3 linked regions of the Daphnia pulex genome follow. The protein of the gene in region 1 interacts with the protein of each later gene in a pairwise test. Links are inferred from orthologs where the notes say so. Each region holds a gene or a part of one and is shown in the gene's direction. Other genes may lie near its edges.

Region 1 (11,106 bases):
TGTGTGCGCAGCTGTTTTTGTCCGGGGGAATAAATATCATATAATTGCGTTTTTTCATGATTGGGTGTCTAACGGTTTTTTCTGTGTTGTTATTCCACAGGCTTGCCCGTTGAATCCGACGCCAGCGCCTTCCAACGGCCAACAGCAATTGCTGCAGGATTTCTCCGAGCGCTTCCTTCCGGCCATCCGCGATGTGGTGGAATTCGCCAAACGTTTGCCCGGCTTCACCCTATTGGCCGAAGACGATAAAGTCACGCTCTTGAAACCCGGAGTCTTTGAAGTACTTCTCGTTCGATTGGCCGCCATGTTTGACTCACAGGTAAATAAGAAGAAAACGAAAAGAAAATTCGACTGGGAAATGTTTGATATTCATTTTGATTTAAATTGTTTTCATTACAGAGCAACACCATGCTGTGCTTGAACGGCCAACTACTAAGAAGGGACGCCCTTCACAATTCGTCCAACGCCCGATTTTTAATGGATTCCATGTTTGAATTTGCCGAGAGACTCAACAGCCTGGCACTTAATGACTCTGAATTGGGTCTCTTTTGCGCCGTTGTCGTCATCGCTGCCGGTAAGTTTCTTTAAACTAAAATGTTAATTTGCGACATTGAATTAATGAGATGAAATTGAAATTCTTCAGATCGACCCGGATTGAGGAATGTGGAATTGGTGGAGCGGATGCAATCGAAATTGCGATCCGTCTTGGAGAATGTTTTGAATCAAGCCCATCCTGACAAGGCTGGACTCTTTTTGGAATTGTTGCGCAAGATTCCCGACCTGCGCACGCTCAACACCCTTCACTCTGAAAAATTGCTGGCCTTCAAGATGACTGAGCAACAACAACAACAGCAGCAACAACAACAACAACATTATAATCATCATGCGCAGCAGCAGACTCCTCCCCCGACTGCCAGTCCTTGGCACAATGACAGGGACAGCTACGACGAAGAAGGTGGCGCCAAGAGTCCGATGGGATCCGTGTCCAGCAGCGGCGCTGAATCGATTTGCTCCGGCGTCGAAGGCACCTCGTCGATGAGCGATTTGCCGCTATTGGCCGCTGTTGCCGGAAGCGCTGTGCCGCTCATGTCTGGCGGCTCACACCGACGCCGACTTCGCGGCCCGTCCGAGAACGGATCATCTTCCATGTCGAGCGACGGTGAAGAAATGGATTCCACCGGCCGTTCTCTGATGAGGATGGTTGAATCGCCTCCGCGGACCCACAGCGCTGGAGCCGGAAGCAATGCTGGCAGCAGCTGCCCTTATTCAAAGATGCGCAAATTGGATTCTCCGGATGATTCCGGAATCGAATCGGGTGTGGATCGCTACGAGAAAATGTCGACGGCTTCCCGGTCGACCAACACGTCCCTTTGCTCATCACCGCGCTCTTCACTGGAAGACAAAGTCAAGGAAGTGGATGAGATGCAACATCATCACCACCATCATCATCATCATGCGGCTCCATCGGCCGGTGGCCGTGTAGGCCAGTCGAGCGTCGACGACATGCCCGTCTTGAAGCGAGTCCTTCAGGCTCCGCCTCTTTTCGACACCAACTCTCTGATGGACGAGGCGTACAAACCGCACAAGAAATTCCGGGCTCTGACGCGTTGCGCCGGAAGCAAAGGCGAAGAATCGCCGATGCGAGTGCCGGCCGTTAGCTCGCCTCCTCGCAGCTCGCCGACCTCTTCCTCTTCATCGTCTACGTCGACCGTGAGCGTCTTGTCTGCGGCTCTCAGTTCCCCTCCGGGCACGTACTCTGCCCTGTGCAGTGCCTTGACGTCACCTCCGTCGACGTCGTCGTCTTCGTTGCTGGCGTCTTCGTTGTCTTCGGGCGTCGTCAGTTCGCTGACGTCGACCCACTCGACCCTGGCCCGTTCCCTGATGGAAGGTCCCAAAATGGTCAGCACCGAACAGCAGCGCCGCGCCGATCTCATCGTCGCCAACATTATGAAGGGCAACGTGACGGGCTCATCGCCCACACCTTCATCGTCCAGCCAAAACTATTGTCTGTCACCCCTTTCCAGCAGCAGCAGCAGCAGTAACGGACAACAACAACAACAAAGAACCGTTTTGACTTCCGGTCCACTTTACGCCGGCTCATCTTCGCCATCTAGCTGGAATTACCACCACCACCAGAGGTCGTCGCCAGTGTCTCCTCCACATCACCACTCTAGCCCAAGTCCCAGCAGCAGCCGAATTCCGCAACAACAACAACAACAGCAACAACAGCCGGAATCGGTTTCTTCAGTTGGAGGCGATTCACAACCGTTGAATTTGTCGCTCAAGTCGCCCTCGTCGTCGCCGGCCAGGCCAACGACGCCAGTCACGCAACACAACAACACTCACTATTTCCCCCTTCACGCCTAAAAATGATTGACGAAGAGTTTCTCTCACCGTACCTGTGGATTGTGTGTGTATGTGTGTGTGTGTGTGTGTGTTGGATGGGGTGAGGAGGAGGAGGCATGGGGGTGATGGGGCAACTATTAAGCGTAAGAGGATCCCATTTTTTGGTTGCATCGTCAGCCGTGTTTTTGATTCGATCCCTTTCAACAACTACAACAACAACAACAGCAGCAAACAACCAACACCCTTTAAAAAAAAAAATTCTTGTACAGAATAAGAAACTGTAAACTAGTTCTTCGTTATCACCAGCATCAGTGTCGATTATTCTACTCGGTCTTTATATAATTATCTATCCCCCCCCCCACACTCCCGACCGAATCTTATATATATATATATACATAGTATATACACTTGAGTTTGATGTTCTACATGATATGATCCATTTTCCTCGTTCAAATTGAAAGGAAAAACAAAAAAAAAACTCGAATCGCGGAATTTGCCTCGCTGTTAAACAGTCCCATTTCGAAATTGGCGCGCGCGCATTTCTTTTAAATTTTTCAAAAACTTTCTTTGCGGGAACATTATTTTTTCATTTGCTGTGTTTAGCCGGTGGCGTCCAAGACGCATTTTCTCTGTGCTGTATTTTTTATTTTGAATCCCGACAACAAGGAAAGAGAATGTTTGTTAAATTAAATCGCCCACTATTTCGACGAGGTTATTTCCTTCTTCGTAAAAATTTAGAGAGAAGCCCTCTATCAAGAAATTGTCCGTGTATCGTTTGTCGTCACACCTGCTCGACCTAAAAAAATTTGTTTAAAATATTTTCAATTTTTTTTTTCATTTAAAAATTAATTTCCCGTACAACTCCCGTACGAGCATGTGACGGTCGATCTCGACATGATTTTTTCTTTTTTCGTTTCATAATTTTAAATTTGTCCCCTTAAACAAACAAAAACAAAAAAAAAAAGAAAACAATTTCGTATGCTTTTGTGATTTTTACGACGGACAACCCATTTCCTGTGAACGACAGAGTGAGAGAGAGTGATGGAAGGGTTTGAAAACATTTGGGCAGGAGCTCCTTCCATGTTTACCGTGTGTGAGTGTGGCAATCGTATTGATGATTGTTTTATCCCAGTGGAAGACACACCTTTTTCTTCGTATGTTTTACACCCCCTATCTTTATATATATTATATATATATATATATATATATTATTACAACAAAAAAATCTAATAGTGTGTCAATTTTTGTGTTTCTGTCAACATTTCGGGGGTCTCTTTTTCGGATTGGTTGAGGGGAGGGCAAAAAAACAAAAACCGAGTGATGGATAAAACTTTTTTCTTTTGTCAAGTTTCCCTTTTTCTAAATTGTAACTTGTGTCCATGAGTTGCAATGCACTCGGAATTTCTGTACTTTTTTATTTCGGTTTTTGTGTTTTTCTGTGGGAATTATGGAAACAAAAGTGATTTTCTCTCTCTGTCGTTTACTTTCAAAATTCTGTTTTTCAATTGTTGCGTGTTTCGGTTTTCTATTTGCAAATTCTTTTTCTGTTGATCGAAAGAAATTGTCATCCTCCCTACCCTCCATATATAATTCTATAACGGAATGCCTGTGTAATGTGTGTGTATCTGCGGAAAAAATTTCAAAACTGTACGTGCCGTGTGTTCTCTAATGACCGGTTAATGTAGCGCATTTCACGTGCGCAATCTAGACATTACAATTATGCAAGAATGTCAAATCGAGTTTTTGTTTCATTTATTTTTATTTACAAAATGAATTCTATTATACACCCATCGTCGGTATACATTCCAACAAACGGTCAACGGTTATTTTCGAAATTTCAAAAATAAAAGTTTCAAATTTGACCGCTAGATGGCTGTCGTTGGAGCAACAACAACGATAAGGTACTTGGGTTTTCGTGACACACAAAATCAATCGCAATAAAAGGTGTTAATCGAAAGCCTCAACCAAAACAACCTTAACCCACATTGATCACTTTTGCACAACTAAATTTGTTTCCCGGTCCAAAAATCTCTCGATGGAATGGTACGAAAAAACTAGGACTCTATTGATGTACACGTAGGAGCAGCAGCACCTATTCAATGTCAAATAAAGTTATACATGTTACTATTCATTTGAAAAATTCCCCCCGATTACAAAAATAAAAACGGCACGTGTCTCGACTTTTCACCCCAGTTCCATCTGGGTAGTTAGTTACAACCAAACGGTCGTCCAGTCTGTACGGTTTAGAAAATCTTTCCTGGCCACCACCAGCTATATTATTTTTCCACTGGACTCGTGCGTTTTTGTTCAAGACCCGGTTATCTTATCTGACTAGAGAGAGTCAGTTAATAAACTACAAGCAAAAAGGCGCGGTAAAATAACTTGCAAGACGCACACAATCTACGGAGAGAGGAAATGCCAAAGGAAGGAAAACGGGCGGTGCAGCAGCAGCGGCCATTTCTCACGCTCACATCTTTGGAGAAACGCAACTCGTGTTGTTGAGAGATCCGTCTGCTGCCCAGGGTGACACGTCTACAACACACACACACCAAACGGCTGTGTGGGTAGGTTTTTGAAGGTCGTATAATAACTAACTCATTCTCCTACAACTCCCCAATTTCTCCGTATGTATCCTTTCTCTTCTTTCCACTCCTCCCCTTCCTTTTCCTTGAGGGGGTCGAAAATTACAACCCACCACCACCCGTACAACAGCAGCAGCCCAATCCCTAAGGCTTCTTTTAAAATATCTTTTCTTCCTTGGTTGGCGTGTGTATGTTGAAATGGCGTGCATAGTCGAAAAACGACTAGGGGGATAGAGTGTGTTATAAGAAACTTGTTGTCTATTCTACTTGTCGAGTTCTAATCTTGTGCCCGTCAACTTGTTGTGTTTTTTTTCGTTGCTCTTCATTTCTCCGTTTGGTCGCCAGGTTGTCGAGGTACATCGTCGAGTTGGCAAGTTTGTGAGCTGCTGCCAAGAATTTTTCAACGGCAAAAATGACAGTGTCGAAATTGTTTATTTCCTACACTTGAGCTTCACGAACAAAATTTATTTTGTTTTGTTTCAAAAAAGTGTCGGCCAAACGAAATTGTTTTGTTTTTCGTTGTTGTTGTTGTTGTTTGGCCGCATCATGGCGCCCCAAGAAGTGAAATTTATGGAGAATCGGTTGGGTGGTGTTGCACTGGTCATTGATGGATGCAAGTATCGAATCAATCGACGCTCAGGCAATACGGTTTATTGGCGGTGTTTCTATCGTTGGTGTCGGGCCAACGCCGTGGTGGAAGACGGAAAATTGAAATCGTCGTGCGGCAGTCACATTTGCTCGCAGCCGCACAACAACATCCAAAACGGCGGCGCCTCTGCCAAATCGGGACGCCACCGCCAGTCGTCGGATCATCAGCAGACGCCAACAGTCACTCAGCAGCAGACGGTTGCGGTTCATCAGCGACCGGCTACTTCTTCGTCTGTCCAGCCAGGCAGTCTCAGAGGAGCAGCTTCTCTCGCCTCAAAAATGGCCACGCGTGCAGCTCAAGGATCAACTACTCACACGTTAACACGAAATGCCAACAAGGGCAAAGTGGCACTCAGATCTCAGAAACCTCCGACCAACAATAACATGGTCATCCGAAGGAAATCCAAGGCCAATGAAGAGGATATCAAACCCACCAACGTTACAGTGCAACCGTCAACTACTACTGATTCGCCACAATGTGTTCCAGATTCGCCACCTAATAATCAGGTACGTTGATTGGAAAACGGTTTGATGTTTTGGTTGCTGATGGAATCATATTACCTATTTTTACATCATTAACGCGGGGCATTTTTTTCTTTTGGGAACAAAGAAATCCCGCGCTATTTCGTGGGAAATTTCTTTTTCACTTCCCTTTCGAAGCGGGGTTGCCATTTGAATTTTTGTTGTCAGACAAATAGTCATCCGGCTCTCGTTATTTTACGACAAAATGGTGTGATAACTAGTAATTTGGACGGAGATTGGTAATAAAGAATGTTCACCGACGATCTGTCGTTATTTCGGCCGTATATCGTTCACCGGAAAGTGGCAATGTTGTTCCAGCTGTCAACTATCTTCACGCGTGACAGTTGGGAAACAAGTGTTGACGAATCCCCCCATTTTATGTTATTTTATAATTGTTATTGATGGAAAACGTGACCACCGATACACCTGATTTTGCTATTCCCGTAACGTGATCTGGTTTCCTTAGACATCCGTTTCATACAAATTTAACATCTTGTTTATCTCCACAGAATGAAGCACCCAAGTACAAGATTTCGGCCGAATGGAAACGGCGTGTGAGATCCGAGTATATGCGAATTCGCCAGTCTCGGAGGTATAAACGAGCTGATGAGATTCGTGCTGTATGGTCCGAAAACAGAAAGAACGTTAATGGTATACATGGCATTTTCAAAGTTTGAGGTAGAACACATGTGTAATAAATCTTCCTTAATCCTTATACACAGAGAGGGTGGCTGCCAACCAAAAGAAATGGGAAGTGAGCAAAGCATTCTGGGCATGCAGCCAAGATTGGCCAGCGCACAGTCAGTGCATGAAGAAAGTCAAACCTGACCACTGCCTGGGTGTCAACACCGATCAGAAAGCAGTACCTGTTAAGATCATCAATGCAGTAGCACCTGTCCCCACCATGTATTCATGGGCTGGTCTCCAACAGAACTTTATGGTATGAAACTGAAATGTTCTTTTCCTATTGTTTTTATGGAAACTAGCATATACACATCTACAGGTGGAGGATGAAACAGTTCTACACAACATCCCTTACATGGGTGATGAAGTGTTGGACCAGGATGGTACGTTTATAGAAGAATTGATCAAGAACTACGATGGAAAAGTTCACGGAGATCGCGAAGGGGGCGTCATCGATGACGATATCTTTGTGGAACTAGTCACTGCCTTAGTCCCCTATTGTGATGAAGATGAAAGGTCTGATTTGGGTTCGAAATCCGTCAAAGCTGAGAAGCTGGACGAAGCAGCACGTGATGCCATGACAAGTATCAAAGACAAACCACCCAAGGACTCTGTCCAGCCCGTAGCGAAGGATCTACCCAACATCATTGCTTTTCAAGCAATCGCCTCTGTCTTCCTAGACAAAGGAACCCCAGAAGAATTGAGAGAAAGGTATATCCAGATAAACAAAAATACAAAGTAATGATAATAAAACAACATCTTTTCATACAGGTACATGGAATTGACGGAACGAGCTGATCCTGTCGCTCTGGGTAGCGAGTGCACTCCAAATATTGACGGCCCGAAGGCTCCCTCCGTCCAGAGGGAGCAAGCCATGCACTCATTTCACACCCTGTTTTGTCGCCGATGTTTTAAATACGACTGTTTTCTTCATCGTAAGTTTGCCTGCTTCGTTACAAGTAATATCCTTCATTAGATTTGAACGTTTCTTTACACGTTTTCTTTACTTAATTCTCACTCAACTTTCCGACGCTATCTTCTTCTCTAAAGAAACTCAAGGAGCGGTGCCTCGTCGAGGTAAATTGCTGTTTGTTTCACCACTTTTAGTTTGTCTTTTTTTTTTTAACTTGTCGTGAGAGAGAAATGACTGACCTGTTTTTAATTATAGGTCTACAATCATATCATCCTGGTCCCAACAGTCAAAAGAGAAAATGCAATGATCTCAAACTTCCCAAACAGCCTTGTGGGCCGCAATGCTACATGTACTTGGTAAGATACCGATCTTATACGTTTAACAGCAGTCTTTATTCAAATTCATTATTACAGGAAGGTCTGTTAGAGAGATTAGCACAAGCAGCGCAAGAAGGTGACGAAGCCGATGGGCAGCCTCTTAAAATCCGAAAAACGGTTTCGCTAGATTCGGGTAATGAAGCTTCATCCGAAGATAGCAACGACAGTAGCGTCAAAAATGGGAACGGGGATAACCAAAATCCGCCGGAATCTGTTAAAGACGACAAAGAAATCGAATGTAAAATTTAAAACGTGCTCTACTTGTGGCCGATGTTAACTGTTTTGTCGTTGTTTGCAGGTGCAATGGAGGTCGTCGTGGAAAGTCAGACTCCACCGGAATCTGTTGCTCCTAAAGTGAGCGAGCCCAGTAAAGATTCAACGCCACTCACGTCCAATGAAAATTCGAATAGTTCTTCGAGTTTGGTACCTGAACGCAAGAATAGCCTAAATGAAAAACCTGGACCTTCGAGGTATTACCGCATAAACAAATTCCAACTAAAGGAATATGCATTATTTGTTACACTCTACATGAAGGGAGAGCAAGTCCAATGAATCCGGTACCAGCACGCCCCTTGCGCAAGCTCCACCTGCCCATGAGTTGAATCCGTTAAAAGACATCGACCCCGACATGCAAACTGTGTGGACACCATCGGAACAAACTCTCTTCCGAGTAGTACATCCCATTTTCCTTAATAATTACTGTGCTATTGCGCAGACTATCCTCAGCAAGACTTGTAAACAGGTGGGTTGCATAGATAATTGAGTTACGAGTCATTGCTGGCAGTATAATACTTGATCGCATTTTTATTACTGTGCCAGGTGTATCGGTTTGCTCAACAAGAAGCCGCTGATCTGCCAACCCTGGAGACCGAGAAAGAAGCCACCCCACCGCGGAAGAAGAAAAAGAAACTACGACTCTGGTCCGTTCACTGCCGAAAGATCCAGCTAAAAAAAGATGCCTCATCGAATCACGTTCATAATTTTACGCCTTGCGATCACCCTGGCCAGCCTTGTGATTCCACCTGCCCTTGCGTTAATGCGCAAAATTTTTGTGAGAAATTCTGTCAGTGCAGTTCCGACTGTAAGTTTAAACATCTCTATTATCTATTAACGGTTTAATGACTAAGTACTAAATTTCTCTATCAGGTCAAAATCGATTTCCTGGTTGTCGATGCAAAGCTCAATGCAATACCAAACAGTGCCCCTGTTTCTTGGCCGTTCGCGAATGCGATCCTGATTTATGTGGGACATGCGGTGCGGATCATCATGATGTTTCCAAAATCACTTGCAAGAATGTCAGCGTTCAACGTGGATTACGTACGTCTGATCTAAGTGATTTAAATCGTTTTATTCTAAATCTGTGCTGTTGTGGTTTACAGGCAAGCATCTGCTTATGGCCCCTTCCGATGTTGCCGGTTGGGGAATATTTTTGAAAGAAACAGTACAGAAGAATGAATTCATTTCCGAATACTGTGGTGAAATAATCTCCCAGGACGAGGCTGATAGACGAGGAAAAGTTTACGACAAATATATGTGCTCCTTTTTGTTCAATCTTAACAATGGTGCGTAAGCTTCTGATGCCTCAATCTCTCGACCTTCACACTCATTTTGCTTGTCTCGTTTCAGACTTTGTGGTTGACGCCACCAGAAAGGGTAACAAGATTCGCTTTGCTAATCATTCGATCAACCCAAACTGTTATGCCAAAGTCATGATGGTGAACGGTGACCACAGAATCGGTATATTCGCTAAAAGGTTTATTCACTCTGGCGAAGAGCTGTTCTTTGATTACAGGTTAGAATTGCTTTGTTCATCAATAAGAATACGTGGTCTAAAACAATTTGTTTTCCTCGTTTTTAGATACGGCCCAACAGAGCAACTGAAATTTGTTGGCATTGAAAGAGAAGGGGAATTCCTGTAGAAATGTTGTTCGAGCAGTGCGTGGTTCTAAGCCTTTACGTGGTTCATCAGGTCCAGTACATTTTAGCTTATGAATAAAAAGGACCGCGACTAGATTAATTATAACTCTTTTTGTGCTTTTGTAAATCGTGGTGTTATATCATGCCTGTGTAATGTAGTGATTCGATTTTATCGTAAATAAGTTTAAAGTGAAGATTTCTTTTTCACGTTACTCGCGGCCGGTGCTTTAATCACCGACGAGCACTCTGGTTAATAAAAATAAACTATGTTCATAATCATTGTATTGATTTCCGAATTGTTTTTATTGGGTTGACACGAATTGACTAAGTCATTTTGTTGCGAGTTTGAAGAATTTTATTCTACGTTTCTGTTCGTATTATTTAATACCGTAGATCACATTTATCCCACCCTTCAAAATTATTATCAGTTGATAATTCCTCAAACGTAATAGAGCAGTTCCATTTTAGGCATTAAGTTAAGTTTATTTTTTACCCCAAATTTCATGGAAATATATGGTCGAATTATTAGTCAGCTCAAAAGCTGACGAGCTAGCTCGAAAGCTATCACTTTATGTCTTTATTCACTTATTTTCTGGGTAGTCCCGACTTCCGGAAAGAAATTTGAAGACAATGGTCGATTGCTACGCTAGATGGTTCTGGGGGGGGGGGGGCGCACTATAGACATCTAGTGAATGGCAACAGAAATTTAAACTCAAAACCGACTACCGGTGTGTTGATTATCCTCTGAATGTCTCTTATCGAGTATCGAGAACACAAATATTGAAACATATGTGTTCTACTCGGTTTAGTGTTTCTGTATCGTCCAGATATTCTGTGATGAAATTTACTAGATAAAAAAATTATTATAATTATTATACTCACTGATACATCACTTATTTTAAAATGCACCGACGAAGAAAAGACAAAATAAAGGCAGTAATCGAACTCGATGCATTCCCTAAGGTTGTTGACAAAAAGTTTGGCTAATCTTAAATCAGGTTTAAGTAATAATTTTATGAATATTAGGTTCCTGACACCTACAAGGAAAAAACCACATCAGGTGGAACCAGTATGTTGTCAACTTTGTACATTTTTATTTTAAATATTTTCTGATTTG
Region 2 (9,716 bases), about 210 kb from region 1:
GGGCCAATTATTTTCAGGGTGTGCAGGGCAATTGCAAAGAAACTGAGAAGGATTAACTTCAGTAGGCGCGATGCCGGAAAGTGAGGCTGGCTGCTCACAGGTTAGCTTGGGTGCGATTATCTTCCAAGAATGCCTTACGGCCGGCATTGATCGGTTCATGTACTGTGCCATAAAGTATGCACCACAATCGCATAACAGGGGATTATCATCAAGAAACACTATCTTTTTCGCGATAGGATCTTCAGTTTTTCCATCATCCGATCGTCCGTCAACTTCTTCGGCCGATTGGAAATATACTTGTGTGATTTGATTGTTACGAAGATCCAAAATAAAGTCTCGTGTCGGAGATAATCTTGATATGTCGGAGATGGCAAAACTTGTCATTTGATTGTGGCTCAAGATGAGGCGAGTCAACGATTTCATCAAACCCCAGTCGGAATATAGATCAGCGATTTGGTTTTCAGACAGATCGATTAATTCTAATTTTAAGTTGTACTGTAGCGGAGATTGTCTCCAGCCGTCGAGAGGACTGACAAGACCTTCATCGAATTTCAGGCGATTGCGTGCTAAATTAATAGTAGTTAATTCTTTCAAATATTCCATGGCTGCTGGTTGAATAACTTCAATTTGATTATCTTCAAGATATAGGCTTTTCAAGGCTCGAATGCCTCGGAAAACGTTGGCTTCAATTAGAACAAGGGTATTTCCATTGAGCTTGAGAGTACTCAAAAGTCCCAAGTTACTAAACATATTATCCTCGATGCTTGAAATCGAATTCCACGACAAATCCAAATCGGTCAAATTGGTAAGTCCAATGAACCAATCTGAATGCAATCCATTTAGCTTATTTCGTGACAGATTAAGTTTGGCAAGTTTGGTTAAATTTGAAAAAGCATGTTTGTTGAAAGACGACTGGTTGAAGGAACAATAACTCAAATCTAGGACTATCAAAGACTCTAGATTTTCGAAGACACCACGATGAACAGTAGAGAGCTTGGTGTTTAATTGTAAAGATATCTTTTCCAGCATTTTGTTATTACGGAATACTCCTTCTGGCAGTACTTCTAGCGAGTTATTTCGCAAAAAAAGTTCAATCAATTGTGTGTTGAACTGGAAAGCATCCTTGTCCAAACTTGTTAGCTTATTATTACTCAGATCTAGATATTTTAAATTTGCCAGGGATTGTAGAACATCAGAAGGAAGTATATCAAGTTGATTGTTTTGGAGGTTCAATTGAAACAAGTTTGGGAGATTACTGAAGGCACCGATTTCTAATTGTTTTATTACATTTGAGCCCAATTGTAGGGAAATTAGTTGAGGAATATTTTTGAATATTTTGCCACTTATTTTTTGAAGTTTGTTACTGTCTAGCCAAAGTGTCTTCAAGTTTAATTGATCATCGAATAAATCATCTGGAAAATTTTCAAGTTGATTGTTCTGTAAATTTAGAATTTCAAGTTGTGGCATGTTCCGAAATGAATCATGATGAAGAGTTTGAACAGGAGAGCATGAACGAAGTGCAATTCTCTGAATGAAGCTGAGATTCATATGCCTCCCTAAGAATGTGGACAAACTATCCTTTGGAAGCGGACAGAAATTGAATTTCAGAAATGAAATATTGCTAGTTGGAATTCCTTTAACATATTTGTAAACAGATTCTGTGAGAAGGTTTGTTTCATCACATGAACACTGAATTTCAAATGAACTGTCACCATTGTCTTTAAGAGCTTTATAATCTGCTGAAATAGAACCCTCACCAACTGAACATTGTAAGTTGAAATCGCCATTTGTCTTCGGAAAGCATTGACATTCAGGATTTTCACGTTGAGAACATTTCCAAAAACTTTCTGGATGCTGGTCGATAGCAGCACTTAGTTCTTGACTGACAACAATGGTTTGAAAGAGAACACAACACAACACAAAACGGTAGGACATTTCTAAACTGTTACATACTTTTTCTTTAAGAGTAAACGTATTTCATTAGTCAACACTCAACAGGCGATACGAGATTCATGACCTTGACGTTTACAATGTGACGTTCCCATTTCCCGATTCTACGAACTTTCTAACATAGCAACATCACAAAGTGAGCAAAGGCCTGAGTTGGCAAGGGGGGTTGCAGTCTATTGTGATCATTGTTCGCGCCTGCCACCTATATTCTAGATTGTTTAGATTCTATTTACCCAGCATGAATCACAATGAACGTGAACGAAGTTTCACGATGTTTTCAGCCATAGATGTCTCTCTCTGATATCCGTAGATTGTGACATTACGTGATACCCCGATCAAACAGGCCTTGCAATGTATTTCCTTTCGTATTATGAATTTATTGCACGTAAACAGAGCCGAGGGAAAGTTAAAATGTGGTTAAGCTTTCACAACTCAGAACGAAATGAAAAACATAATTTTTAGACAACATATTTGCTTGAAAAGACTTCTCCGTTGATAGAATGCCATACGTTATTAATGTTAAAACATAGTTTTCTCTAATTAAAACATGATTAAAAGTTCCGATTGTGATTCGAATTCTGAATGATTAATCCTTAGTTTGAAATTAAAAATAAACACCAATCCAATCTTCTCTTCAATTAAATTGCAGCTAATTATTTGAAGTGGTTAGTATTTAGTACGCGTAGATGCGGACTATTACATTAAATAAGAAATGCGTAAGGCAAGGCCAGAGCAATAGATCCCTGGTCGGTTCACGGCTGTGTTGGCTTCCCCATCTCGATTTTAGGGTAAACGTAAGCCGATTTGGAAACTTTAAAAAGCGCCTCTAGTGAGTGTGTCAGCTACAACGTCCAGCTACTTTTGAGAGCCTAGATGGCTCTTTTTAAAGTTTCCACTTCACAATTCTGACAGGCCCCGCCCTAAAACCCCCTGAAAATCGGCTTACGTTTACCCTAAAATCGAGATGGGGAAGCCAACACAGCCGTGAACCGACCAGGGATCTATTGCTCTGGTAAGGCCGTAATTCATTTTCGATCGCTGGCCCGCCTGGCCGTCCCGCACTCCGCAGACATTATTCACATGATGGCAATGTGGCAAAATTACAAATTGCCACTATCAGCCGGTTGAGGCGCTGTCTCATCAGAAGTTGTTCGCGTCCATGAAACAGAATAATCTTGTTTCTCCCGGCTCTTCTAACTCAATCATTAAAACTATTCAAGAACCTTGTGAAAAGTAATTTGAAGTTAAAACCATACAGAATGGCTACGGGAACTGTAGAATCTGCTGTGGCCGTTCGAGTAGAAGAAAATAGAGAAACTGAAAAATCTGTTGACAGAGAAAAGGTAGACTAACATTTTTTGCATTTTCTAATCTAAAATATGACTGAACTGAGTTTTCTTTGCAGACATGCCCATTGTTACTTCGTGTTTTCTGTGCCATGGGAAGACACCATAGTCTTGGTGATTATGCAAGAGGTAGTGTGCCAGCAAGTGAGCTTCAAATTTATACATGGTAAGGAAATCCCAAGAAAAAGTGATATTTACGGCTAAAGTTATGTGTAATCGTAGAATTCATGAAATTTTGCATTTTGCATTTATAGGATGGATGCCACTCTTCAAGAAATTACTGGATTGGTGAGAGAAGTTAATTATGAAGCCAGACGCCGTGGAACACGCTTTTCCTTTGCTCAGGTACATTCTAGTTCATACAGTACTTTAAAGTAAAGAGGAACTGCTGTGTTTGTTTGTTAGTTCATCATTATACATCATTCTTTTCTTCTGTCTGCTTAGGTATTCCCCGACCGAAGCACACTAAGCATGTCTCGACGTGAAATAGGTTCCACAATCTCAGGAGAACGCGGGCCAGATGATATGAAGACCCTCAAACAGTGCCGTTTTACCATTGGAGACTATATTGACATCGCCATCACTCCACCCAGCAGAAATATGAATAATCAAAGCAACAGGAGATTCAGGCCATACTAACTTTTTTTTTGTTTATCGACACGGCATTCTTGTTTTTTTTTTCCAGCAATTTTTCCAAGTCATTTTCATAATTGACAGTAAAAAATTTTCACATAGAAAATGTATTTCTCAGTTGCATTTTTTTATGGAAGGCTAAACGCTGCATAAGAATCCCGTATTAAGTAATTAAGGGTTAAGTCATCCGAATGTTCCAGAATTGTCGCAATCAGTTCCTCTTGCTCTTGATGAGAATCAGACGGAATTGGAATTTCTTTTTGTGCTCCCAGTTTACATGTAAATTTATGATAGAATTCTAGCATTTGACAATTCATAGAAATGCCATATTGAAAGGACAGCCTTAGTTGGTGATGTGCGTCTTTCAAATTTCCAATTTCATCGAATAATTGCGACAGTTTAAAACATAATTGGGATCTGATCACATCTTTCGTTCCACTCACAGCAAAGGTTATAGAATTCAGTTGCAAAATTGATCTAGAAAATAACGTTTGGTTTTTAATAGTTACGCTTTATATTCATGAACTAATTATAATACCTATTGATGAGCTGGATAGCTTTCTTGTATTGCTTGAAATGTGCGCAGATTTGAGCATGAAGGTACAAGGTAAACAAATCTTCTTCTAGGGATGAATCAATCGCATCCAAAGCTTTCTGGTAGCTATTTGACAAAACGAGCGCCAGGATACGCTCGTGTAAAACAATAGTTTCAGATGGAGAAACAAGCTTGAAAACTGAAGAAAAAGGTTCCGATTTAGGTTGGAAGTGAGTCTCAGATGACAGCTTTTCATATTCTTCTGCGGCTTCTTGATATCGCTAAGATTTTTCGTTGGTAAGTTTTTTTAAATTCAAGATAATATTATATCGTTACTTGGTTTTTCAGAAAAATTCGAGCCAATTGGTATCTCAAGACTGATACTTCAGGAAGGCTGAATAATTTCATCTGTCCAAGAAGAAATCCAGGAAGTTCAGTATGAATGGAACATTGAAAAACTGGGCTTTTTAGTAATGATTCCTCTGCTATTTTCAATGCTTCAATTTCGAAATTGGTTTGATCCAAAACCTAAAGTTAAATAATTAAAAACTAGTAAATTTTTAGTTGGTTGCAGATACAGGTTTGACATACTTTAAATTGAGTGGCAGCGTAAGCCATCACGATTGAACAGGCTTGCGTTTGGGCTAATTCTCCTGCTCCAGCAAAACTACAATTCAAACGACAATTACTTTATTAATTTTGCACATTGAAAATCAGTATCATCAAGTAGCATTACTTTAAATACTTTAATGCAATGACTGGTTTCTTTAGTAAAGCAAATTTTGCTGCGTTGATTAGACACCTAGCGAAGTATAGATAACTATTCCTTTCGTTGAAATATTCTTCAATCTTCTCATCACTTGAAGGATTAGCTAAGTGAAGACTTGCATACATTTTAAAAATTTCAAAAATTTCAGACATTTTTGTGTTTTGTGGACTTTTGACTGCAAGTGCTTCAGACCAAGACAAGTTGGTACAGTAAAACATGGAAAGAAAAAGTCTTGAAAAATCACAAATGATTGAACAGTAACTTCCAGTAGATTGTAGTGACATTTCAAGTGGAGAAAGCAGAAATATGTGAGTAGAGTTTACATCTGGTGATTCATTCTTTAGGCTGCATTCTAAAATATCTAGAACGCTCTTAACCAGTTCAACAAACCTTAGATCAAGTTTGATTAAACAAGTGAGTATACAGCAGTACAGTAGAAGTGAAAGCTCATCTGACTTGAGCTTTTTACACTGAAGTAATTGATGCACCAAGCCAATAAATTTGTCAACAATTGAGTGTTGTTCTTGATAGTAGAATATTTGATGGTTGCAAAGCACTTTTTCAAAAGCCCCATTTCCAATCTGGACTGCTTTGACACCATTTTCTTCACAACATTGATAATTCAGCAGTGAATAAATAGCATTGGTAGTGCAACATAAAGTCAAAAAGGTATACTCTTTTTCATGTGGAAGTGCTAACAGCTTAGCCTGCAATTGAAAAAGCTCCTCGGAAACAGTTTTTCTAAGCAAATCATCTCCTGGCACGAAAGATGTTTGAAATTTGGATACTAAAACATTATTCTCCACCACACATTTCTCAAATAGTGAGTGAGTTGGTAAATCAGACAAAATTGTTATACACTTTCGGTAGTGGCCTTCTTCGTAATGTTTCGAAATTATATCCATTCCGTAATAAAACTACTTCAACTAAGACTAACTATTGCAATTACAAATCACAAAGAGAAATTCAGACGACGATTGTGTATTTCAAAATTGTAAACAGGACAAAGTTGCCAGCTGCCAGTGATAGCGTTATGATTCTAGCTTTTTACAACGGTATTTTAGAATAATCATTACAGTCGAAAAAAGTTTCTTGTGTAAAGAAGTACTTATTCTTATATTAATTAGGAGCACTCAAGTGACCAAAAATTAACAGTGAAAAATGTTGAAATATTCAAAAGGTAATCGATTCTTAAAGAAAACTCGATTACAAAATAATACAACATTGCCAGTTCTCTCTTTATGTATTCCTGTCAGGGCGTGAATAGAGTTGGACGTTAGAAAAAACCAGACGTCAGTTGCCCATTGCCCGTCGACCGTTTACTTATTTGTTGACAAGTCTGTTCATTCTCGACGCCCACATTTACCTTCATTAAAATGTCCGACAGCGCCAACGGGAATAGCCAAGGAGACATCCCCGAAATCGAGCTCATCATCAAAGTGAGTAATGGTGTAAACTGATTGAATGACGCGAATCTCACTGTATAGTAACCAAGTCGCGTCCCAAATAATTTCGGCATTAGGCCAGCAAGCTTCACGCCCAAATCGTGCAAACATTCCGTGATATGTTCTTGGGTGGATTTGCCTGCTATGTTACTGTCACAACAGCAATTTGTCAGGATTGTCTCCCAAAATTGTTGTGAATTTCGTCAAACAAGGAAAGAAGTTGTTCCCAACATTTGATAAGTCTTATTGTGTGCTAAACCTAAAACTCTTCTCTGACGTACGTGTTTTTTCGTTTGTCGAAGATTAGGCGAGTATTCTCTTATCATCCTTTTGGTTGGTGCCATAACATTTCGAAATGTTAGTTGGGCGCGTACAATGTTGTGTAGTAAAAGACGGTTCGTTTCTTACAAATATTTGCTGTAGGATCGTAAGCAGGGCCTCGGTATTACCGATATAAAGCCAGGAATTTACAACTGGCTCTCGACCTCTAGTCAAACTAGGTTTCCGGTACCTACAGCATTTCCCCTTTCCACTCCCCTGTGCCCTAAAGTAACAACAACAACATAGAGCCTGACGATGCATTTTGATCAGTAATTTTTCTGCAGCTTGAAAATAGGAACATTTCGGTACTAGTAAAGAAAATTTTTTACACCTGCCATGTGATGAGGGCTGTATAGAAGTAAAAAATAAAAGGAAACGGGACGCTTTGTGGATTGCATTGACGTTGTGTGTGTGTGATGCTGACCTCATAGAGGATGGCCTATTTTTACATATTCTTGCTGCCGTGGGCGCTGTTTGTTATGCAGTTCAACCAACCCTCGCATAGGCTTGACTGTTTGCTCATAAAATCAAAGTTTTGTTTGCTATGACAGTGTGTTTAGGACGTTAAAAAAGTTCTTCTAAAATTCACAAACCAAATTATTATTTAGTTGTTGATTTGTGTGGTTCTCATAGCAACTAATACCTTTGTTATATCTAACAGGGGTTGATTGCACTTAGCGAGTTCCGTAGACCCTAGTTTTTATTTTTCTGACCGATAACATTTACTTGTCAGTGGCATGTCTTTCCCCTCATGTGTCCTCATTTAATGAGTCCTGCGCTAAGTTAACACAGTATTACTTCTGTAGCTGACGAATCCCTATAATCGTCGTTCGCCTACTGTATATATCTGAATTCCTAGCATAAAATGTGCACTCGTCATTGTGATTCAGTACAGAACAAGAATTCTCTTCGTGACATTGCGTGGGTCAACTTTTTTAGTTGGCCAATTGCAGTGCGTCATGTTATCCGGAAGTAGCAGTCAAAGTGGAGGCGAGGCGCTATTCGTGGAATTTCCCGGGGTAGATGTAAATAGGAAACAAATACTCAAATAGAAATGAGAAATGTACACAAATAAGTGTGATATTGAAAGGTCCTGATGACGTCAACTGTCATTTCACTATTCATAAAGCCGTCCTACTGTACTAAATTTGTTTATTTATGACACCATACAGGCCTCCACAATAGACGGTCGCCGCAAAGGAGCTTGCTTGTTTTGCCAGGAATATTTCATGGACTTGTATTTACTGGCAGAACTTAAAACTATCAGCTTAAAAGTAACAACGGTTGATATGCTGAAGCCCCCACCCGACTTCCGAACCAACTTTGAAGCCACACCACCACCAATCTTGATAGATAACGGACTTGCTGTCCTTGAGAATGAGAAGATTGAACGACACATCATGAAAAATGTTCCAGGCGGTCACAATCTCTTTGTTCAAGATAAAGACGTAGCTACCCGTATTGAAAACGTTTACAGCGTAAGGTTTTACCCCTAATGTTGAAATCGATACAAATCAAATCAAATTTTGTGTTAAATAGAAATTCAAGTTGATGTTGCTGAAGAAAGAGGAAGCGTCGAAGAACGCCCTTTTGTCTCAATTGAGTAAAATTGATGAGCATTTGGGTAAGCGGGGGAACCGGTTCCTAACAGGAGACACTCTTTGTTGCTTTGATTGTGAATTAATGCCTCGTTTGCAACATATTCGAGTAGCAGGTTAGTAGAACATTGCACTGCTTGAAAATTTTTTTTACTGCTTGATGACATTGTTTATCGTATTATTAGGAAAGTACTTTATGGAGTTTGATATTCCAACGGACTTGGCTAATTTGTGGCGCTACATGCATCACATGTATCATTTGGATGCGTTCACCCAGGTACGTGATTTTTAAAAGGTTTCTCAACATTTCGTAATTTTTCATGAAATTTCATTTATTAATTTAAATTTCAGTCTTGTCCTGCCGACCAGGATATCATCAACCACTACAAGCTGCAACAGGTATGCTCCAAAAGTCTGTTCAATTGCAACTGGCTTAAAATATTATTGATTTGTTTCCTAGGGAACGAAAATGAAGAAACATGAGGAATTGGAGACACCGACTTACACTACGTCGATCCCTGATAACATCCGGCCGTGATTCTGAAAATGACGCAAACGTTTATGTTAGGCGAAACTAAACGATGGAAACCCTAAAAAAAAGAGTAAAAAATATGTGTCTATAACTTAATCTCTTTCATGGGACAAGTTAGATATGTATACCAACCAGTGTTTTCAAAACTACCAGATTTCACACTCTTCATGTGCCTTTATTTTCCTTAATCTTTATTTTTTGGGCCTTAATGTAGTTCTTCAAAAATATTAGATAAAACTCCGCTGGGATCTTTAATTCCAAATACTTTTTTTTTCATATTTGTTTGGGTTCTTATTTATTTTCTTGTTTTTTTTTTCCGTTTCATTCCTTCTGTAAGGTTGTTCTTCTGCTGAAAAGTCTCCAAATGTGGTACATGATTGTGTAACAAAACATTACAATACGCACTAACAAAGTCACCAATGCCTTTATAAAAAAAAAATACCACTTTCGCTGCGCTGAAAAGGATAAAAGTGTTCAGTTTCGTTCTACGTGAGTTTGTTATTTTGTATTTTTTGGTTTACTTTTTTCCCAGTCTCTTTATTGAAATTGGGGCTAAAGCAACATGTTTTATGGCATTCTTTTATACC
Region 3 (10,989 bases), on another chromosome or scaffold:
GTTAACTCCAATAGTATCCGTTTCGGATCTAAATCTTCCCGTTTCGGCACCGTTTTCTTGGATCCTTCAAACCAATCAGATTTGAACCGTATTCTGTAATGATTTTACTCAATTAGCTACAATTTGATTGATTTGATTTTCCTACAATTAGTGAAACTTGAATAGAATTGTGAGTAAGGAGAAGAAGCTTTTTTAAATCTCTAGTTGCTGATTTGACTAGAAGTGATAAAATGTATTAGCATTTATGCTACTGCTACTACAGCAGTTCTATATTCTGTGCGGCACTGCAGGTTGAAAAAAAATGAAATAAAGCTGATGCATAATGTAAGAAAGGAATAAGGAGAGAAAGAAAAACATACAAAATACTGAAACGTAAGCTTCAAATACTATGGCACGCACATGACAATTCTGAGATTTATACGGCCAAGCTCTTAACTGAATGCGCTTATATGTATACAAAAATGAACACAACTAGGTATACAAAAAATATAGGTGATGATAGAGAGTGTGAACTGGAGGCTGAATAGATTTGTACAACAATACATTGATTTATTGAGACTCGAGGCTGTATTTTAATTGTGAGAATCTCATTTTTTCTTTAGGCGTATTGTTTATAATACCCAATGCTACACGATGGAATGCATGGTATGATGCTGTTCGCCACGTAAATAAGATTGCCAAAAAATGGAAAAAAAAAGACTTGAAAGTTGTGACTACTTGAAAGTTCCCTGCCTGACAGCTACAGATTACTTTATTCATTAATGATTATGTTACTGTGATGCAGCCCATTGCATTTGGATTGGACATTCTACAGGGAGAGAAGGATGTTACTTCCGGAAACCTACTACCTTCCATAGTAGATATTGGGAATAGTTTGAATAATCTCAAGAATCGAGATGAAAACTCTAGCCATCCCCCTATTAGTATTTCACTCCCATTAGTTGATGCCTTGTTAGAAAGATTGAAAAAAAGATTTGACATCTTTCTTAGGCAAGAGAATTTTCAGTTGTCGGCTCACTACACCCAAAATTTAAATTGATTTGGTTAGGGACAAGCGAAAAAGATACCAAACTGAAGAAACAAATCATCAGCAAGATTGAAATCCATCTAACATATTTAGACGTCTCTGATTCTACTAAGGCAACAACCCCTGATGACCCTACTGATATTTATTCTGGGTTAATGTAAAATAGCAAGGGGAATTCTATTTTCCAACAAAAAGAAGGTTGAGCTCACTCGGTTTCTTGAAGCTAAGCCAATATACAATCTTTTCTTGATTACTTCCAAAATATAAAAAACTTGTTTTGGAAATTTAATGATAGCATTGCATCTTACGCTGTAACGGAAAGATTTTTTTCTTTGTTTGGGCGTGTGTTAACTTCTACTAGAACACTTCTTAGTGATACGATTTTAATTTTCTTGTTTTTCTTAAGTCAAATATCTGTCCTTTTTCTACAATAACTTAAATTAAATAAGTCATAATAATTGGGCATCATCTGGCAAACCGACCCCTTCAAAATCCGTTTCCCCTTGTCGAGAAAAACCACCGCAAGGGGATTTCGAACAAAGACTAGAGGGGAACCCTCCCCTTGGATCGGTTTTGGATTCGAAGGGGTGGGGAAACGACTTGAAATGACCGCTGAAATGTAGGAATTGATTCAAAAGCGGATTGACTTTGAATCAATACAAATGTCTTTCATGCAACAATAAAATAAAGAAACGCGTAGTCCCATGAGGCCCGTATGATGCTGGGGCGACGGGTTTTTTGGGGGAGCAGAAGCATGACAGAAGTAGGTGCGTGGTTGGTCTCAGCAGGCCCGTGGTTAGGGTATAGGGGGACAACACTTACCAGGACGCAGCCAAACAGACGAATTTCCCGTAGGGATTCTGTAGGGGAGACCGGACCCATGTTGGACACTGTTCCAAGTTGGACAGTGTCTTAAAATATAGTAAAAATTGCTTTAAAATTCTAGATTTCACATTGTTCTAGATGTGATGATGCTAGATCCTGTGTAGTTTAATTAATTTCCCGAGAGTAGAACGGGAGTTATAGGAGGAAGAAAAAACACGATAAATTATTGCAAAATTTTTCGCCCGAATTATTGATCTTGCTCCAAGTTTGTTTGAGTAAAAAAATTTTTAAACAAATGTTTTTAAATTATTTATTATTGGAAGAACTATCATACAAGGTTTTTAAAATAATTTAAAGACATTAATTTCCACCTTTTCGAACCCCGTCTAACTTGGTACAGGCCCCTGTCTAATTTCACCCCGGCTCGGTAAAAAACACCGAAAAATGGAAATCAATGTAAATTCTTAAATTTTAAAGTTACACATTTTAAAAAAATCAAGGGGGTGGAGGCAAGGCTAAAAAATGACCTTAGCCAAAAAAAAATTCTTTTGCCTAAGGGGATCGGGAGATATGCGGGAAAAACCGCGACTGTCCAAGAGGGGTCCGGTCTCCCCTACAGGTTTTTTGGCATACGGGAGGATTAGTTCCAATTTCGCCAATAGATGGCTTCGATTACTTTTTCGACAGTAGATGGTGGGTCGGTCGAATTTCACCAATTTTAACTGCGCGCGTTGAAACTGGCATCTAGGCTCTAGCGACTAAAAGTAAACTGTCATCTGCCTCTTTCTCTTCTTCTTCTAGATTTTTTTATATCTTCCCGTCCATCGATGACTGGAAAGAGATTCAGCTCTTTTCAGACCGACCAGGAAAGAATAACATCTGTAATAGCCTACATCAGCCAAAAATTTTTATTTTTATTTTTTGTCCGCTTGGCGCAACCTAAGACTGGTGGCTTTTTCAAATCTTATTTAGAAAAGAAACCAAAACGAAGATTTCGACATTTTTCCCCCTGCCCCTTCTCGGAAGACGAATTCGACTGCGCTGCTCCTTCCGGCGAGCCCATCTCCTTATCTCTGAAAACGTCTAACGGAGTTGATAGATCGTTAGATCTCCAGCTTAATGGCTCTGGTTTCTAGTTCCATACTCCTTAGTCCCTAACCTAATCCCTAATTTCTAAATTTATTATTTACTAGAATATGTTTATTTCAAATACCTTCGTATTTGGAAATTGATAATATAAGATTTAAAAAATATAACTGCGTAATTTTTTCATTTTGAAAATCACTTGTTTCGTGTGGGTTTTCCAAAAAAATCAAATTCCAATATATTTATTAAACATTATGTTTCCCAGAAGGGTTCCGACTTCTGAAAACTGATTATTACATATTCAATCCTATCAACAACATTCATGGAAAAATTGCTTCTTGCAATTAGTTTGACGTGATACTTTACCTTGACTCCTCCACCAGGGCAACAGATAATTATCCATTACTCTGCCTCCACTTATTATCATCATTTTTATAGTTTTGTAAGGACTCGACTCGAATCGAAGGAGATTCGAGATTTTTTGAGAGCTGGCAAATATGTTTCCTCAAATTCGCGTTTGAGGCTTTGGGCTATCGTAGTTAGTTTGTAGATTTGGCAACACTGTAAATGTAAGCATTCGCATTCGACGCAGCGAAAGCAATTGATGCTGGTGTCTTTTCTTTTCAGTGTAACTGTCGAAAAGTAAAAATAATTTTAATAAAGAATTGTGATTTTCAATTTCGAAAATGACTACTCAACCAAGTCACAGCAGAAAGCGAGTTTGCTACTATTATGACAGTAAGTTAGAAAAATAATTGTATCATGTATAATTAACGTTTCATGTCGCGTGTTTGACTGCCGGCGTCCTTTTTTAAATTAATTATTTCAGTGGTCATATTCTATTTATTTTATAAATTCCCAAAGATACTTGATTTTTGCTAAATTTATATACCTATCTATTGTGACATTTTGATGTACAAAATTTATGTGGAAGTAACAATATTTGGCAAGTGGGACGTCATTTATGCACAGTAGTATCACAAAGAATTATAGATGTTTGAAGACTGAAGAGCACATAGTATTAAAAAAGAAAGATATGTGGCTATATTATCATTTAAATTGGGTTTTATTTTTGAATTGCTTCAAAATTTTATTAAGATTTTCATGTCAAATTTGTCGATGAGGTTGTCGGGGGTATAATTGACGTCCTACTTGGTGGGTGGGTTGGCATTTTTATGGTGACTTTTCATTTTAACTCTTAAATTTGTAATTCCTTTTTTTATTAACCTAGGTGACATCGGGAATTTTTATTATGGACAGGTAATAATATTGAACACATTTATGTTAATGAAACTGTAATTAATAATAAATTTTTGAAATTGAAGGGACATCCCATGAAACCTCATCGCATACGCATGACCCACAACTTGCTCTTGAATTATGGGCTATACCGTAAAATGGAAATCTATGTAAAAATTCAAGAAGCTAGATGATAATTGCCACAGTTTAATTGAATTTATTTTTTGTTAGCGACCACACAAAGCCACAGCTGAAGAAATGACCAAGTTCCACAGTGATGATTACATTCGATTTCTTCGAAGCATCAGACCTGACAATATGACAGAATACAATAAACAGATGCAGAGATGTAAGATGTGTTTACAATTTGATCAATTTGAAATTGTGAATTAATTTATTTGTTTGTTTTTTAGTTAATGTGGGTGAAGACTGTCCTGTTTTTGATGGGCTCTACGAATTTTGTCAATTATCTGCTGGAGGTTCTGTAGCTGGAGCTGTGAAGCTCAACAAGCAAGCAACTGAGATAGCTGTGAACTGGGCTGGGGGATTACATCATGCCAAAAAGTCTGAGGCATCAGGATTCTGCTATGTAAATGAATAACTTAATAACAGTTTTTGGATATAACTTACTAACTAATGTTCATCTCTTTCCATATTTTAGGTAAATGACATAGTGTTGGCAATTTTAGAGCTTCTGAAATACCACCAACGTGTTTTGTATATTGACATTGATATTCATCATGGTGATGGAGTGGAAGAAGCCTTTTACACTACTGATCGTGTAATGACTGTTTCATTTCACAAATATGGAGAATATTTTCCTGGAACTGGAGATCTCAGAGTAAGAAGTTTTGAACTAAATTTTGAATAAGAAACTGTTATTTATCCTTTTGTTGTAGGACATTGGTGCAGGCAAAGGAAAATATTATGCCGTAAATTTCCCCCTGAGAGATGGAATAGATGATGAAAGCTATGAGCAAATCTTCGTACCTATCATGTCAAAAGTGATGGAAACTTATCAGCCGAGTGCAGTGGTTCTCCAATGCGGTGCCGATAGTTTGTCTGGTGATCGTTTGGGATGCTTTAATCTTACTTTGAAAGGTATGTGTTCGGAACTATTGTTTTTAGTATACATGTTATTATCAAGTTGTCTTTAGGTCACGCAAAATGTGTTGATTTTGTTAAGAAACATAATCTGCCTTTACTGCTGCTTGGAGGTGGTGGTTACACTATTCGAAATGTTGCCCGTTGTTGGACTTACGAGACCGCAGTGGCACTGGGAAATGACATTGCAAATGAACTCCCTTACAACGATTATTTTGAATATTTTGGTCCCGATTTTAAATTGCACATTAGTCCGTCTAACATGGCAAATCAAAATACTCCGGAATATTTAGATAAAATCAAGTAAGTTTTTAGTGTTTTATTCAAAGAATTATATGTTGAGTGACATGTTTTTCTTAGAACTCGTCTTTTCGAAAACCTCCGCATGTTACCTCATGCTCCTGGAGTCCAAATGCAAGGTACTTGCATTAAATTTAATTCTTCAATTGTATTTATTATTTCATTGCATTGCGTTTAACTGATCCAAAATTATTCTGACAGCAATTCCCGAGGATGCCATTAACGAAGATTCCGACGAAGAAGATAAATCTAATCCCGATGAACGTATATCTATACGAGCATCAGATAAAAGGATTGCACCAGACAATGAATACAGTGATTCCGAAGATGAAGGGGATTCCCGCCGAGATCAAAGGTCTGAATTCATTAATAAATCGTGCAATTTTTCATTTTTTCAATCATTATTCTCTACTATATAGATCATTTAAAGGAGCAAATCGCAAAAGACCAAGAACCGAAACAGCTGAGGGTGCTGCAGAGGTCAAAAAGGAAGAAAAGGAGGACAAAGAAGTGAATGGCGAGAATAAGGAAGGTACTTCAAAAGAGACTGTAAAGGATTCGGACAAGAAAAATGAGACAACACTGAAGTCTAGTGGTGAATCTTCTAGTGAAGGTAGTGCTTTGTCCATGGCGAATGAAATAAAAGGTTAGTGTTCACGTAATCGTGGTTATCTCAGATTTCTTACCAATTATATGTATTTTCAGAACCCGAAGAAGATAAATCTACATCGCATGAATTAAGCTCCCCTGTTCCGGTTTGCGCCGATAGCAGTAAAGGAGAAAAAGTTTGAAAATACCAATTAGGGTTTTATTTCATTTTCGCTAATTTTACACTGATGGTGATTCTTCGAGATTCATTCACATCCAATTTTCTACGTGTATCTTAATTAGAATGTAAACTCCGGCTCCTATCACCAACTGCATACCCTCAATCGGGTTCTCAGTCTTCAATACATTTTTACTAAGTTTTTCATTTTAGTTTGGTCTTTTTTCTACATCCTAAGATACGCACTTCACTTATGTTGAGTGCATACTTTAAAACTGGAATACTGATTCAACAACATGTAGCGTAACAGAAGCTTTAATAGGCAAGAAGCGTTTATTTTTAAGAATGATTTTGTAGGGAGAATCAGCGATCAGTAAGCCCAACCTAGTTGGTGGAACGTTGGAATACCGTAGGAAAAGTTTGAGGTTTTACTAGGATTAAGGTTGAAGTTAATAAATATTAAATACTTGAATTGGGATAGTGCATATTTTAATTTCAAAACTATGATAAATTTTACTATTCTGGTGTTAGGTTACATAGGTTAGATTACATATGTTAGGTTACAGTACTAGTCACTAGTATTGTTATCTAGTTATCTTATTTCTTAAATCATTATGTTTTTATAGGCCTCAATAATATAAAAAAATAATTCTAAAGGTTTCATCGATATGGATAACCGATAAGTTAAGGCAACTGGTGGTACCTCTAGTGCTTCGTTATTGTTTCAGTCACGGCTCCCAGTTATTAATTTGCAAATTATATTGTGATAATTTTTAAGTTCGTCGGTTTCGTAAAAAGTGGTTTTTAAAGTGGTGATTAAAAGTCCAACTGAACGGAAAGTAATGTATGTGAACGTGTTATATGAATTGCTTTCGTGTTTGTTGCGTTTAAACCGCGTGGTTTCCTGAGTTTTGATTTCCTCTTCTAGGTCAAGTTCGTTCATCCGATTTCTCCAGTACTTAATCCAATCTGGCATGAAGTCATTTTACAAAGATTCTTTCGATTGAGTACCTTGAGATCAATGTCTTTTCCAAAAAGATTTCCAATCAGCGGCATAAAGAGGGTTAGCCTCTGACCGTTGCTCCTTGAACTGCCGCACACAATCCAGCAGTCTCTCTTCCGGTAATTCCGGACACTATTTAGTTCGTAGCTGTGGTATAGGTTTCCAGCGCATCGAGCATCCCCAAGTGTTTTTGGATCTTCTCGGTGAAACGGGAGAAAGAAATCCGAAGTTGAATTTCAGATTTACTTCTGTTTTAGTTATATCAGAATATAATTTGGCATTTGTTCGGCAATTTTGCAATCGGCGAGTGCTGGTCTCAACGGAACTGCACTAAATAAGGCATTCCAATTTGTATCTGAACACGATGATTGGTAAAATAAACGGCAATACTTAACATGACAATCATTATTACCTTGAAGCGTATCTAAATCCTGATTTTCAGTTGGAATATTGTGAAACTCGTGGAATTCATGCAGCTGGATGTGTCTTACTCGTTCATTTCTTTTTTATTTCTTCCGTCACCCTTACTCCCTATACTTGGATACTTGTCAGCTTGAACACCATGTTCCCGCTTTTAAGCTCCTGTTGAACTCATCGATAAAATACTTGGTTAGCTGATACCTTTTGCTGGAAATCTCGAACATACGACTCATGACTCTGAGAATACGAATTCTGCTGGTAAAACTAATACCTAAAACTATGACTACACAATTCTCCAGACCGCGTTGTTAAGCTTGCCCCCTTGCAGCTAGTAGATTGCGTCGTTGAAACTTGGAAGTGCACACCTATCCAGCTGAAGCAGAATGTATCAAGCGCTGTGACTGGTTAATATGCAATCCAATTAATTTTGTATCACTTAAAAAAATGGGTAGGAAAAAATGTATAGGATTAAAACTAGACTTAGTCCATTCGAAAAATACAGAAGAAAAAAATATTACTCGAGGCTATATTATAGCTAGTACGACGTTGCCTTGTCGGCGGTACGCGTCACTGGACTACTGACTACTCTATACACCATGTCTATACTTCGTTTTAAAGTTAACTAACGGCCAAAATAGACTAATTCATTCCAGTTTCCAAAAATTTGTTTATCTCAACTTGGTGGCAATTTTAATTTATACTTCAGATTTAAAGATCTTTAACGTATTATCCGTTGCACCACTTATTATTATCGAAGGATTTGACCAGTCAGCGCACAGGATCTTGCCTTCATGTCCCGTCATGTCGTATAACGGAGCCTTGGGACTGAAAAGAAAAATTATTTCTCATTGAATTAACACGCAATTAATTATCAAATACTTGCCTCCTACTATCCCACAACTTTAAAATGTTATCATGGCCACCGGATACGAATAATCTTTCATGTGTCGTAGACCAACAAACCGTTGATACCCATCCAACGTGTGAAGTGAATGTGGCTTTCACAATTGACCCCTCTGTCAAAAAAAAAAATTGGAAATCATTAATGAGCCTATTAAAATGGTATAAAGCGCAACAGATGTACCTTGAGATCGGGCATCATACAAACGTATATGACGATCAGCTGAAGCAGTGATAAGAGTTTGGTTTAATGGAGAACGAGAAATGCAGAAGAAGGATTTGTTCCCAACAATTTCGGATTTTAATCCTCCTAATTCAGCATCCCACAATTTGATGGTGTGATCCCAGGAAGAACTAAAGATTTCATTGTTTTCAGTCCAAACAACAGAAGATATAGCTTCCTTGTGGCCAGGCAAAGTCATCAATGGTGTCTGTATTAAATAATGATTGAAATTAGTCTGTTCTAGCTTGACTGAAGGTATAAAATGTTGCGACACTTCATACAAAACACTTACACGTCTGAGTGATTTTCCAGAACCAGTAGAGCATCCTTTTTCCTTTTCACCATCATCAATTTCGTTTGTTGAATTTGAATCAGATGCTTAAAAAAAGAAGAATTCATTAAATTTAAACAGACACCTGAATACATTAATTAGAATATGTTACACTTACTGGCAGACCAAATTTTAAGCATATTATCCCAACCACCAGTAGCAAGGAAGGATGAATTCTTATCAACATCTACACATTCAATGGAGCGCTCATGTCCTCTTCCAATATGCACACATTCAATTGCATAAGTTTCAAGGTTCATTTTCCACAGCATAACTGTCTGATCATGAGAAACACTAAAAAAAAAAACAATAATTTTTTTTTTTTAAAGCTGATTATCACTAATTCAAAGAAACTAAAAATACCTTGCAAAAGTAGCAGTTGAGCCAGTCACTTCAATCCATCGTACTCCTTTGATGGGGCCACAGTGCCCTGGAATAGTTGACTTATGAGTACCATCAGTCTTCCATATATGCAAGGTATTATCATAACACCCTGTCAGGATCCTGAAATAACTAGCATTGTACATACACATTTTAAGACAACTAAAGATATGAGTGTAATACCAGTCTTTAAAACAGTGGGAAGCAGATACCCAGTCATCATGATTCAAACTATCTTCAGGTTCTGGAGCAGGGAATCTTTCAAGGTATTCTACTTCAACTGTGACTTCAGTATTAATGTCTTTCAGTTTTAGATGTTCAATAAGTGGAAGCCTTACAAATTCTCCGCATACTAGAAAATCAAAATCTACCTCATCCCATCCTGATTCGTGTGTTTCTAAAAAACAAAATTATTAGTATTAATGATTTTGAAAATTTTAAATCATTTACCTCTTAGCAAATTGTTGACTAAAACACTTAGTGAGTCTGCTTTTATTCCAGAAGGGATTGAAAATGGAGCTTCTGGGAGAGCATATCTGTCATCAGAAAAAAGAATGAATATTTTGAGCAACAAATGGACTCGGTAGAAAGACTTACTTCTCCTGTTTCGTTACAAATCTCACTTGAATCTGGCCTTCGTCATTTAACAAGCTTCTTTTTAAAGCCGCCATTGCAAGAAATTTATGACGTTTACTTTTTAATAAAGGTTTGTTAACAGTTTAACACTCGATAATTGTGTGGTTTGGATGAGACCACTTTTGATGTTCGGTCCGCGACTCCACGTGTTCTTGCACTTTCAGTCGTCTGTAATCAAAGCCTGCTATATTTTTACAAAGCCGAAACGATAGGAATTTAAAAAGTGAAGCCTTTTCGCCTACCCTTCCTCCAAGTAAAGCTTTTGACTGCCATCTAGTTTTTGAATAATAAACATGCAATTGTTGCATTTATCCGACATCTGACTCAAATGACGTGTGAACTGTGAAGGGGGCTAGAAATAAAATAACTCGTATTCTATCAATATTTTAAAGCTAAATCATGCAGCGACACAAAGACACGCAAAAAATCTAAAAATTGTTCCCGTCTTAGTGAGTCTACGCGAGTCTACCAGGAGTCTACGGTCTAGGCCTCTGAAGTCTAAAGACTATAATAAGCCAGGCTCCAAAGCGTCTTTTGGTGGTTTGCGACGCAATGCCAATGAGACGTGGCACCATATCTTCAACTGACTGGCCCAATTCCAGAATTGAATTACATCGATCATTTCCTCTATCAAAATTTTTATAGAAGATTTTTTTTTTTTTTTTTTTTGTTTTTGTTTTTAATTTAAATTTTCTGTACAGAGAGAAAAAAATGTTACACTATGTGCCAAACTCATGGAACGATTTGC

Evidence for each region.
Region 2: the proteins of histone-lysine N-methyltransferase EZH2-like (region 1) and histone deacetylase complex subunit SAP18-like interact in binary tests that used the Drosophila melanogaster proteins (3 or more experiments, as listed by UniProt). The link is inferred for Daphnia pulex from reciprocal best matches to the Drosophila melanogaster genes E(z) and Bin1.
Region 3: the proteins of histone-lysine N-methyltransferase EZH2-like (region 1) and histone deacetylase 1-like interact in binary tests that used the Drosophila melanogaster proteins (3 or more experiments, as listed by UniProt). The link is inferred for Daphnia pulex from reciprocal best matches to the Drosophila melanogaster genes E(z) and HDAC1.

What each region holds. Positions count from the first base shown.
Region 1 is NC_060018.1:4,492,003-4,503,108, reverse strand, and holds histone-lysine N-methyltransferase EZH2-like, read left to right. Parts: upstream 1-4,560; 5' UTR 4,561-4,910; exon of another isoform or gene 4,911-5,273; 5' UTR 5,274-5,474; coding exon 5,475-6,083; intron 6,084-6,248; exon of another isoform or gene 6,249-6,499; coding exon of another isoform or gene 6,500-6,541; intron 6,542-6,604; coding exon of another isoform or gene 6,605-6,607; coding exon 6,608-6,749; intron 6,750-6,820; coding exon 6,821-7,038; intron 7,039-7,101; coding exon 7,102-7,493; intron 7,494-7,553; coding exon 7,554-7,717; intron 7,718-7,832; coding exon 7,833-7,859; intron 7,860-7,950; coding exon 7,951-8,051; intron 8,052-8,108; coding exon 8,109-8,310; intron 8,311-8,370; coding exon 8,371-8,542; intron 8,543-8,606; coding exon 8,607-8,814; intron 8,815-8,891; coding exon 8,892-9,153; intron 9,154-9,218; coding exon 9,219-9,389; intron 9,390-9,451; coding exon 9,452-9,634; intron 9,635-9,698; coding exon 9,699-9,864; intron 9,865-9,930; coding exon 9,931-9,991; 3' UTR 9,992-10,268; downstream 10,269-11,106. Other genes in the region: ecdysone-inducible protein E75-like, read left to right, coding at 101-319, 400-574, 644-2,367; endoplasmic reticulum-Golgi intermediate compartment protein 2-like, read left to right, coding at 10,893-10,952, 11,016-11,058. UniProt on the Drosophila melanogaster protein: Polycomb group (PcG) protein. Catalytic subunit of the Esc/E(z) complex, which methylates 'Lys-9' and 'Lys-27' of histone H3, leading to transcriptional repression of the affected target gene.
Region 2 is NC_060018.1:4,700,611-4,710,326, reverse strand, and holds histone deacetylase complex subunit SAP18-like, read left to right. Parts: upstream 1-3,067; 5' UTR 3,068-3,209; coding exon 3,210-3,293; intron 3,294-3,355; coding exon 3,356-3,462; intron 3,463-3,550; coding exon 3,551-3,641; intron 3,642-3,740; coding exon 3,741-3,935; 3' UTR 3,936-4,035; downstream 4,036-9,716. Other genes in the region: protein toll-like, read right to left, coding at 1-1,935; uncharacterized protein LOC124210509, read right to left, coding at 4,058-4,406, 4,468-4,745, 4,801-4,992, 5,056-5,131, 5,201-6,138; chloride intracellular channel exc-4-like, read left to right, coding at 6,610-6,672, 8,172-8,477, 8,539-8,713, 8,783-8,874, 8,949-8,996, 9,058-9,135. UniProt on the Drosophila melanogaster protein: Involved in the tethering of the SIN3 complex to core histone proteins. Interacts with bicoid (bcd) to repress transcription of bicoid target genes in the anterior tip of the embryo; a process known as retraction.
Region 3 is NC_060024.1:1,147,524-1,158,512, forward strand, and holds histone deacetylase 1-like, read left to right. Parts: upstream 1-3,484; 5' UTR 3,485-3,624; coding exon 3,625-3,676; intron 3,677-4,169; coding exon 4,170-4,198; intron 4,199-4,263; coding exon 4,264-4,347; intron 4,348-4,408; coding exon 4,409-4,526; intron 4,527-4,590; coding exon 4,591-4,766; intron 4,767-4,838; coding exon 4,839-5,018; intron 5,019-5,076; coding exon 5,077-5,278; intron 5,279-5,334; coding exon 5,335-5,584; intron 5,585-5,641; coding exon 5,642-5,700; intron 5,701-5,782; coding exon 5,783-5,936; intron 5,937-6,000; coding exon 6,001-6,227; intron 6,228-6,286; coding exon 6,287-6,372; 3' UTR 6,373-6,554; downstream 6,555-10,989. Other genes in the region: ribosome biogenesis protein WDR12 homolog, read right to left, coding at 8,466-8,595, 8,654-8,786, 8,855-9,101, 9,186-9,271, 9,343-9,518, 9,588-9,728, 9,789-10,002, 10,056-10,141 and 1 more. UniProt on the Drosophila melanogaster protein: Catalyzes the deacetylation of lysine residues on the N-terminal part of the core histones (H2A, H2B, H3 and H4).